2 linked regions of the Macaca mulatta genome follow. Each later gene encodes a partner of the first gene's protein in a complex. Links are inferred from orthologs where the notes say so. Each region holds a gene or a part of one and is shown on either strand. Other genes may lie near its edges. The genes, in order: CDK5R1 and CDK5.

Evidence for each region.
Region 2: the proteins of CDK5R1 (region 1) and CDK5 are in contact, whole or in part, in a crystal structure (PDB 3O0G), measured with the Homo sapiens proteins. The link is inferred for Macaca mulatta from reciprocal best matches to the Homo sapiens genes CDK5R1 and CDK5. Residues at the interface, in NP_003876.1 of Homo sapiens: Trp190, Gln193, Thr197, Pro198, Ala199, Phe203, Tyr231, Leu232, Ser235, Tyr236, Met237, Gly238, Asn239, Glu240, Ile241, Ser242, Tyr243, Pro244, Leu245, Lys254, Glu255, Trp258, Asp259, Cys261, Leu262, Ile265, Asn266, Ser269, Ser270, Met272; in NP_004926.1 of Homo sapiens: Leu37, Asp38, Glu42, Gly43, Pro45, Ser46, Ser47, Leu49, Arg50, Ile52, Cys53, Leu54, Lys56, Glu57, Val69, His71, Leu76, Arg120, Asn121, Val122, Leu147, Arg149, Ala150, Phe151, Gly152, Ile153, Pro154, Arg156, Cys157, Tyr158.

Annotation. Positions count from the first base shown.
Region 1 is NC_133421.1:42,047,400-42,051,894, reverse strand, and holds the start of CDK5R1 (cyclin-dependent kinase 5 activator 1), read right to left. Parts: upstream 2,869-4,495; 5' UTR 2,791-2,868; intron 2,487-2,790; 5' UTR 2,342-2,486; coding exon 1,418-2,341; 3' UTR 1-1,417. UniProt on the Homo sapiens protein: p35 is a neuron specific activator of CDK5. The complex p35/CDK5 is required for neurite outgrowth and cortical lamination. Involved in dendritic spine morphogenesis by mediating the EFNA1-EPHA4 signaling. Activator of TPKII.
Region 2 is NC_133408.1:190,485,622-190,489,976, reverse strand, and holds the start of CDK5 (cyclin-dependent kinase 5), read left to right. Parts: upstream 1-1,429; 5' UTR 1,430-1,499; coding exon 1,500-1,536; intron 1,537-2,183; coding exon 2,184-2,272; intron 2,273-2,369; coding exon 2,370-2,437; intron 2,438-2,548; coding exon 2,549-2,609; intron 2,610-2,708; coding exon 2,709-2,765; intron 2,766-3,495; coding exon 3,496-3,591; intron 3,592-3,737; coding exon 3,738-3,812; intron 3,813-3,971; coding exon 3,972-4,068; intron 4,069-4,248; coding exon 4,249-4,318; intron 4,319-4,355. UniProt on the Homo sapiens protein: Proline-directed serine/threonine-protein kinase essential for neuronal cell cycle arrest and differentiation and may be involved in apoptotic cell death in neuronal diseases by triggering abortive cell cycle re-entry. Interacts with D1 and D3-type G1 cyclins.

The sequences.
Region 1 (4,495 bases):
ATCCTATGTAAAGTGACCCTCTGCCTCCCCACCCCAGGTCCCCATTCCAGCACTCCCGGGGGGACTGGGCCTGGAAGACAGAATCCTCTGTAGCGTCTTCACATTGGTCTTTGTTCTCCACAGCAGAGTGACGGGCCATGGAGGAAGGCTTGCTCCCTCTCCCAAGTCCCAAGCCACCAATACGGGAGAATGAGAAAGAAAATCAATAAAGTACACATTTGTGTTTTTACAGCCAGTAGGGGAAGGTGGAAACCAAAACCAGCAGCGGCAAATGATCAGTTGTAGAAATCAGCAGGCTTCCAGAGCAATCAGGAGTCTCACTCCCGTCTTGTAATTGTCTCCAAGATCCAGCTGTCTCACTGGTCCCTGTAGGGCAAGTCTTCCTCTTTAGAAGAAACTCAACTGTTTGGAAACAGCTTTAAATTAACAGGGGTGGGGGTGGGGCCACCACATCGCCTTCCCCCCAGCTCTGCAGGACAAATGTCATGTGCACCAGCAAGAGGCCTTAGCCCTTAGGTGGGCACCGGCTTGGTCTCAAGGTATGGCATCCCTCACCTTGCCCAGAAGGCAGGCGTTGCTAATGGGCACCTGCAGCTGTCCTGGCATTTGCCACAGGGCGACTGCACTGCATTATTCAAAAGAAAAATTCACCCAGGAAAGTCGTCTCCAGCTTCACCCCACCTCTTTAGCTGGGACCCAAAATGAGAAAAAGTAACGAGTCAAAGCAGCTCATCGGCCAATACCAGCAATGCGGCTGTGAGCAGCAGACAAGGGGGCAACGGGCGAGTTCCATTTCTCCACTAAAGGAAAGCCCTTCTCCCTAAAAAAGAAAACAGCAAATCAGGGCGGTGTGTGGTCAAACGACCAGACACAGTCTTTCCACTAGACCTGCTCAGCTTCGCCTCGCCTAGATTGAAGATGTCCCAGCGCAGCGGGGATCCTGCCTCATGACCCCACTGGCAGCTCAGTTAGGGTGGATGGCTCCAGGAGCCTCTGGGAGAGCGAGTAACTCCACACAGGAGCCAGAAAAGGGCCTCCAACCAGAAACCCCAATTCCTCCCTGGGTCAGGCAGCCAGAGTCCCCTCTCTAGCGCCATACAGGGTGCAGCCGGCAGCCTCGCCTACCCTGGACCCAGCAAGGGCACAGGCGGCAGGGGCAGGTCAGTTCTTTGAGTTCCCCAAAGTGGGAGGTCAGTGGCCTGGGTGGCTCCGAATACATCTTCTGGGTTTTGCGCAAGGCTCGTGAGTTCAAAAGTGCCCAGAGTTCTTGGCAGGGCTGAAAAAACCCCAGGGAGAGACTGTGGGAAAGGTGAGGCCCTTGGTGGCTTTGCTAGACACATACTGTACACAAAACTGATTTAATAATAAATTTTTAAAAATGCATTGAATCCTTGAGCCATGGCGCAGGCTACAGTGCTCACCGATCCAGGCCTAGGAGGAGCCGTTTCTTGTCCTCCTGGCTGCTCTCGTTCTTCAGGTCGGAGAAGACCTGTGTGAAGTAGTGTGGGTCGGCATTTATCTGCAGCATCTTTGAGCTCATGAGGTTGATGACAGAGAGGCAACGGTCCCAAAAGGCCTCCTTGCAGCTCTCCACCAGGAAGGGCTTGAGCGGGTAGGAGATCTCGTTGCCCATGTAGGAGTAGGAGAGGTACAGGCACGTCAGCAGGACGGCCTGGAGCTCGTGATCCGAGCCCACCTCGGAGGAGATAACATCCCTGCAGAGCATGTAGAGGAAGACCACGTTGGCCGGCGTGATGAAGCCCTGGTCCTGCCAGCCCTGCAGAAGCAGCGAGCGGTCCACGCTGCGCAGCCAGAGCACGGGGTCCGTGGGGGACAGGTGCTTCAGGCGGTAGCACCGGCGGCAGAGAAACTCACCCAGGCAGCGCAGCAGCTCGCTGGTGGACGCCTGGACGATGACCCGTTTGGGCGTCCCTGCGGAGGTGACGGCAGGGTGAGGGGCTTTCTTGACCGAGGAGGAGCCCCCGGTCTGGGAGCCCGAGAGCTGGCTGGCCGGGGGTGCGGGCGGCTGGGCCGGTGGGGGCTGGGCGAATGTGGACAGGTTGGCGCACGACAGCGACTTCTTCAGGTTCTCATTGTTGAGGTGCGTGATGTTGTTCTGGTAGCTGCTGTTGGGCTGCACCTTCTTGGAGTTCTTCTTCTTGGCCGACACGGCCACGATTCTCTTCCAAGGCAGCACGGAGATGATGGAGTGGCGCTTCAGGTTCTTGTCCTTGGCGTTCTTGCTGTTCTGTACGGCCGTATAGTGGCCCACGGTGGCCGCGCCATCCTCAAACAGCGTGGCCTTCCGGTAGCTGGGGGACAGGGACAGCACCGTGCCCATGGTGCCGCTGCGCGCCGGGCGGGGGCTCGCGCCCCTGCGCGCCCAGCCTGCCGGCCGGAGGGATAAAACCACTCACGGAGCCTGCGGTGGCCCCGGGGAGGAGGCGGGGGCGCTCCCGGGAAGCGTGCTGCCCCCTTGGATCTGCCTGGAAAACAAGATGGTTCTTAGCGCCAAGCTGGGCTCCGCGCCGCGCCCCTCCGCCCCGCGCCTCCGCGGACCCCGCGGCCCCAGTCCCGGGCCCTACCCGCGGCCCCGCGCCCCCGCGCCGCAGCCTCGCCGCCTCCACTGCAGCACCCCCGCCCGCCGCCGCCGCTGCGGTCCCCAAGCGCAGCTGGGAGGGGCCCGGGCGCCGACGGAGGCGGACGAAGACCCCCGCCTGGACACCCCGCACGGGCGCGACCCGGGCCCGGCTCCTCTGGGCCAAGGACGGCCGCCCAGCGCAGGCTTACCCGGCAGGCGGCAGCTCCTGCGCTCCGCGCCCTCCGCAATGCGCGCCGCGGCTCTGCCGCCGCGGTCCCGGCGCTCGGGAGCGCTCGGCGGGGATCGGCTGTGCCCGCGCTCGGCGGCGGCGACGGCGGCGGCGGCGGCGGCTGCGGCTCGGCAGCTTCTGTCCAAGGTTCTGCAGGCGCCGCGGCCCCGCCCCCCGGCTCGGCCGCCCGCACCTTCGCCGCCGCCGCTGCCGCCGCCGCCGCGCTCCCGCTCCCGCTCCCGGCGCGCGCCTCAGCGCCCTCCCTCGCGGGGCGCGCGCGCAGTCCACGCGCCGGCCTGGTCTCGCCGGGGAGTTGCGGCCGTTGATGTCCTCAGCTCGAGCCGCGCACGGTGCAGGTAGGACGCGGCGACGAGCGGGAGGCACCTCTACGCACCGGGCCCCATCTAGGAGCCGGACTCGGCGGCGGCGGCGGGACACGCGGCGCCGGCCCGCCCCGCCCCTCGGGACCGCCCCTCCCGCACAGCTCGCCGCCGGCTCCGCGCCGCCGCCCAACAGCAGCCCGGCCGCCTGAGAGTCCCGGGCGCCCGCGCAGCCCAACTCTGCTGACGCTCGGCGGGCGCCGAGCAGGGCGGGGCTGAGGGCCGACCCCGCCCGCGCCCCGCCCAGACACGTGCTGTCTTTGTTCCCGCCGCGGCGCCCGCAGCTGCCGGCCGCGGGGGCGCTCTCGGCCGAGTCCTGCCCTGGCAGCGCGCGGCCCGCCCTCTCGGAGGCTGCCGCCCGGGCCCTGGTGAGGAGCCCTCCGCCGAGGCCAGGGCCGGTAGCTCCCTCCTTCCACCTGACATCCCCGTCCCTGTGGAAAGCAGCCAGGGAGCGCGGGAAAGAAGGCCCTGGGCGGGGAGAGGCGAAGCCTTTACTGAGACCTCCCAAGTGCCAGGCGCACCTCGAGTGGACAGTCCCATCGTTTCTGGCCACCCTTCTGGGGCCTCCGTTCCCTCATCCCGGGGTAGATGCCCGTGGCCCGAGTGGGCCTCAGAAATCCAAGCCAGAGAAGCGTGGCCCGTAGCAGTTCCGGGCCACCAAGAGCCAAGCCTGAGCCCGTCACAAATATGACCTCGAAGTTCCCACTCGCCCTCTTTGTTGTATTAAAGCTGAAGCAACTGCCCCTCTGGCCAGCTTTCTGACCCTCTTAAACGTTTTCAGTTCTAAGTATGTATAATTTAAGAACTTGATGCTAGCGAAATTGAGTAAAATTCTGGTTCTCAAAGAGCTGTTCCTGTCGGATGTGAATCCAGATCCTTCACAAAGGCCGTTGTTCATTTACTATTTTACCTTGTTTCTGGAGATTGAGTCAAAACTGACCACAAACCTGGGAAACAGGAGACTTAAGCCCTGTCTTAATCCAGATCATCTCTGGACCTAGAGATGATGTAGTGGCACTCCAGAGGAGAGGATGACACCCAATTACCTGACCACTCTGGCCCACTAGGCTTTCACCCTGCACCAGCCCTGTCAACTGCCCTAGGGGGAACAGAATGGGAATCTGACATCATTCAAAATGCTGCAATCACGGCAGAAAGTGCTGGATTTTGTTTATGTGCCACTCAGAAATTTCTGTCAATGGGAATTCCAGGCTTTAGGAACCTTAGGGGGCAGGCATACAGTGGAAAGTCCATTGCTCTGTACCCAGAGGACAACTTTGTCCACAGCCCTTCAGAACATCCACA
Region 2 (4,355 bases), on another chromosome or scaffold:
GAAATTCGGAGAAGTCGAAACATAAACGTATCGGGATTGAGATTCTCTTGCGGCCCCCCTCCCAAATAACCCCCGTGCCTCCAAGAAAGCCCCTGAGGGACGGTGGCGAGCAGGTGAGAAGGGTGACAGCGGCTGGAAGCTGGCTGCCCAGTACCCTGAGCTGATCTGGGAGAGGGCAACTTGTTAGGGGCTCCCCACTTCCTGAGAGGGACAGAGATTCGCTATGGTGGCCTCCTTCCTCTTGAATGGAACCTCCACACTGAATCGAACCCTAGTCATAGTCATCACTTATCATTCAAGACCTGTGTGTAGTTCTTGTTTGCCCAACGAAATCACAAAGTCTTCCAGATAAGGAATGTACTTTTCGCTTCTTTTCTCTTGTGTATGCAAAAGCATTCAGATAGAAACGAGTTAATTAACACGTGTTTGGCAGTAACTCTGGTTCCGGTGCCGAGGAGTGCTGTTTGGGATCCTTTTCCCTCGGTCCGTAGCCCTCAAGAATGCAATCATGAGACAATTAGAGAGGCAGCGCAAGGGAATCTATAATCAACTCCTTTAAGGGATGAGGTAGAGGCTGCTGCAAGTTGAGCATCGGTCTGTGGTCTTGTCTGTGGAGGGGGTTAACCAACCTGCCGGCCACACCCTGGCTGACTCCAGTGGGCCCCGTTCCGGAGACTGGGGTCTGGGGGGACCTCCAGGGCTCCACCCAGCTTTTCTCAGCATGTCAGAGTTCAGCGGCTGGAGTCGGGTGGGCTCCGAGACAACAAACGGGGCCCAGCAGAGAGAGGGGTCTTTGGCGTGTGTCCCTCCACTAAAATCCAGCCTCAAAGGGGCACAGCTGTTCTCTTCCCAGCCCTGCGGTCAGCTGTTCCCTGTGAGGTCATCATCGCTCACATGCATTCCCCAGTGAATCCTGGTGTCACTAGGTGGCTTGGGGAGAGGTGGAGGAAACCCGTGCTGAGGTCGTCAAGAGGCCGTTGGGAACTCAACGCCACCAACCAGGTCAGAGCTGGGCCGCCAAGGCTCGGGATCTAGGCCGCCAAACCCCAAACCCCTAACCGAGAGCGCTCCGCCCCCATCCCCGCTGCATTCTGGAACGCGTAGTCCCGGAGCAGCCCTTTTCAAGAAGGCTGGGAGCACATAAAAGGAATAACAACAGCGGGGCACGCTGGGAACCGCGGCGCCGCGGCGGGGCGCCCGGAAAACGGACACGCGTTGCTCCCTGGGACTTGAAGTCCAGGGTTTTGCCTCCGCGGTGGAACCGGAGCCCTGGAGTCGAGTGCTGCAGAGAGCGTGAGCGCAGACGGCTGGGGTTTGTAGTCTTCTTGTCCTCGGTCTCGGGCACTGCGGGGAGACCTTGTTGTCTTAGGACTACAAGCCCCAGAAGGTACTGCGCGGCCAGGCGGGGCGGGGCTGGAGGCTCGGGTGCCGCCTCCTCTGCAACGCCGGGGCCAGAGTCTTAAAACCGAGGGCCCGCAGGGGTCCCCGCGGCCGCCGCGATGCAGAAATACGAGAAACTGGAAAAGATTGGGGAAGGTAATGGAATCTCAAGATGTTCCTGCAAGAGCCCCTCTGCAGATCCTTCGGCATTCCTTGCAGCCCTGGCTCCGTTACCGTCAGCAATACCTACAGGCTCCGACCTCAGCAGCGGCTGCAGCCCTGGCCCCCGAGCTCAGCACTCCGTGCAGACACCAGTCTTCCCCGTGTTAGCATTTCCCGCAGGCTCTCACTCCAACCTTAGCGTTCCCAGTAGACCCGACCTCCCAACCGCGACACTTCCTGAATTTCTCACCCCAGCCTCAGCACCACTTGGACAACCTCACCCCGAGCCCCAGCCTCGGTTCTTGCTGCAGACCTCCAACCTCAATATTTCTGCAGCCCGTCAGTCCTCTCCCAGGCCCCTCCTCACCATTTCCAGACCCTTCCGGAGCACCGCCTTCATTTTAGACATCCTTGCCCTCGCAGCCGCACTCGCCCCTCCTGCTGAGCCCCTGGAGCCTCCGCGGGCACCTTCTCCTCCCTCCTCACCTGCCACATCCTCACTCACAAAGCTCACCCACCTACCTTCACCCTGAATCCCTTTCTTTGCATATTCAGACGCTGCCTTCACCTCCCGGGAGGCATTTCCTGGCTTAGGGAAGAGTGCCGCATCCTCCCCCTGACCCCTGACCTCCTTCCCCTAGGCACCTACGGAACAGTGTTCAAGGCCAAAAACCGGGAGACTCATGAGATCGTGGCTCTGAAACGGGTGAGGCTGGATGACGATGATGAGGTAGGACTGGGGACTGAGATAGGGCCTGGAGAGGGGGTTGAGGGCCTGGGCTGGGTGGGATCTGACTGCTGCCCACCCGGCCCCCTCACATATGCAGGGTGTGCCGAGTTCTGCCCTCCGGGAGATCTGCCTACTCAAGGAGCTCAAGCACAAGAACATCGTCAGGTGTGCGGGAGGCGGGTGCTCCTTGCCGGTGTGGCCGCTTGGGGGAGGCGGGGGCTGACACTGGACGTCTGTCAGGCAGACCTGCATGGCTGAGCCCTTCTTTTGCCCTAGGCTTCATGATGTCCTGCACAGTGACAAGAAGCTGACTTTGGTTTTTGAATTCTGTGACCAGGTGAAAGGCGGGGTTTGGGGGACAGTAGCCTTGGGAAGGTATAGGGGCCCAGACTGAGGTTAAACTCTGTCCCATTCCCCCACTCATATCCCTTTTCAGGACCTGAAGAAGTATTTTGATAGTTGCAATGGTGACCTTGATCCTGAGATTGTAAAGGTGAGGAGAGTGGTGTTGGGGGACCCCTCAGGCTGGGGTCAGAGTCTGCATTCAGTGTAAGCACTCCTTGGGCTCTAACTTTGGGCCCTGAACAGGGACGCTCTGGGATGTCAGAGAATGAGAAAACCCTGTTTCTGCCCTCTAGGAGCCTCCAGTCTTAGCAAACATTTTCACGTGGTCGTCTTTGACCCACACAGTGGCACTCTGACGTCAGTGATAGTATTTACATTCAGAGATGAGAAAATGAGGTTCAAGGAGATACACTCATTCATTCAATACATACTTACTGAATGCTTCACTGTGTGCCAGGTGCTCTTCTAGGCCCAAGACCAAATGTCTTGGTCCAGGTTCCAGGGGAGCCAGTCCTGAATGATACTACAGCATGATATTTATGTGCTGTAGTATCGTGTGCATACTCAGATGCCGCCAGGAAGGGAAGATCAGCATGGGCTAGGATCTAGGCGGGATCTAGGATCCACCTGGCAAGGCCCATTAGGCTATATGGTCCAGGAAGATGGGGACCAGGGCCAGTTTCTTCACTCTTGTCCCTCTAATGCCTAGTACAGTATAAAGCAGGTTCTGGATGGCGAATGAATGGTGTCACTCTGAACCAAGTGCTGAAAGGTGGGTGGGGTGGAGTGAAGCACAGGGTGAGGAGAGGAGCCACCCATTGCTGGGCACAGTTGCATGTTCAGGGCGTCTGACTCCCTTCTGCCTGCTCTCCTCCCAGTCATTCCTCTTCCAGCTACTGAAAGGCCTGGGATTCTGTCATAGCCGCAATGTGCTACACAGGGACCTGAAGCCCCAGAACCTGCTAATAAACAGGGTACTTCTTGGGAAGAAGGTGGGGAGTGGGAAGCCTGGGGCCAGGGCATGGGGAGCACGGAGGGAAGAGGACTGGGAGGATGGAGTCTGTGCTGTCCCAAGGCTGCCTAAAGGCCCTTCTCCATGTCCCCTTCCCATTCCCCTCAGAATGGGGAGCTGAAATTGGCTGATTTCGGCCTGGCTCGAGCCTTTGGGATCCCTGTCCGCTGTTACTCAGCTGAGGTGAGCTAGGAGATGGGATATGGGATTGGGGGAGGGAGTCCCTCAGCTCCAACCTCAGGACCCAAAACACTATTTTCCTCTCCTCTCTGAGCCTCCTCCTCAAACCTCCTCCCCAGCCCTCTAAGTGGGAGTCCCCTGTCGGGGGGCGGTCTCCTCCAGGTGGTCACACTGTGGTACCGCCCACCGGATGTCCTCTTTGGGGCCAAGCTGTACTCCACGTCCATCGACATGTGGTCAGCCGGCTGCATCTTTGCAGGTGACGTGCTGGGGCGCTCCAGAGGCACCTTCTTTCCCATTTGGGTTGACAAATAGGGTCTGAAGGGTTCCCTCTAGGGGAAGGGAGGGAGGCTCTGGGACTGGGGCTGGAAGGTCAGGGGGCACCTCAGAGTGAGGGGTCCTTCACATGTCACATCTTATCCCCCTATCTGCCCCCCAGAGCTGGCCAATGCTGGGCGGCCTCTTTTTCCCGGCAATGATGTTGATGACCAGTTGAAGAGGATCTTCCGATATCCTTGTTTTCCTCTGCCTTGAGCCCTCTGGGAG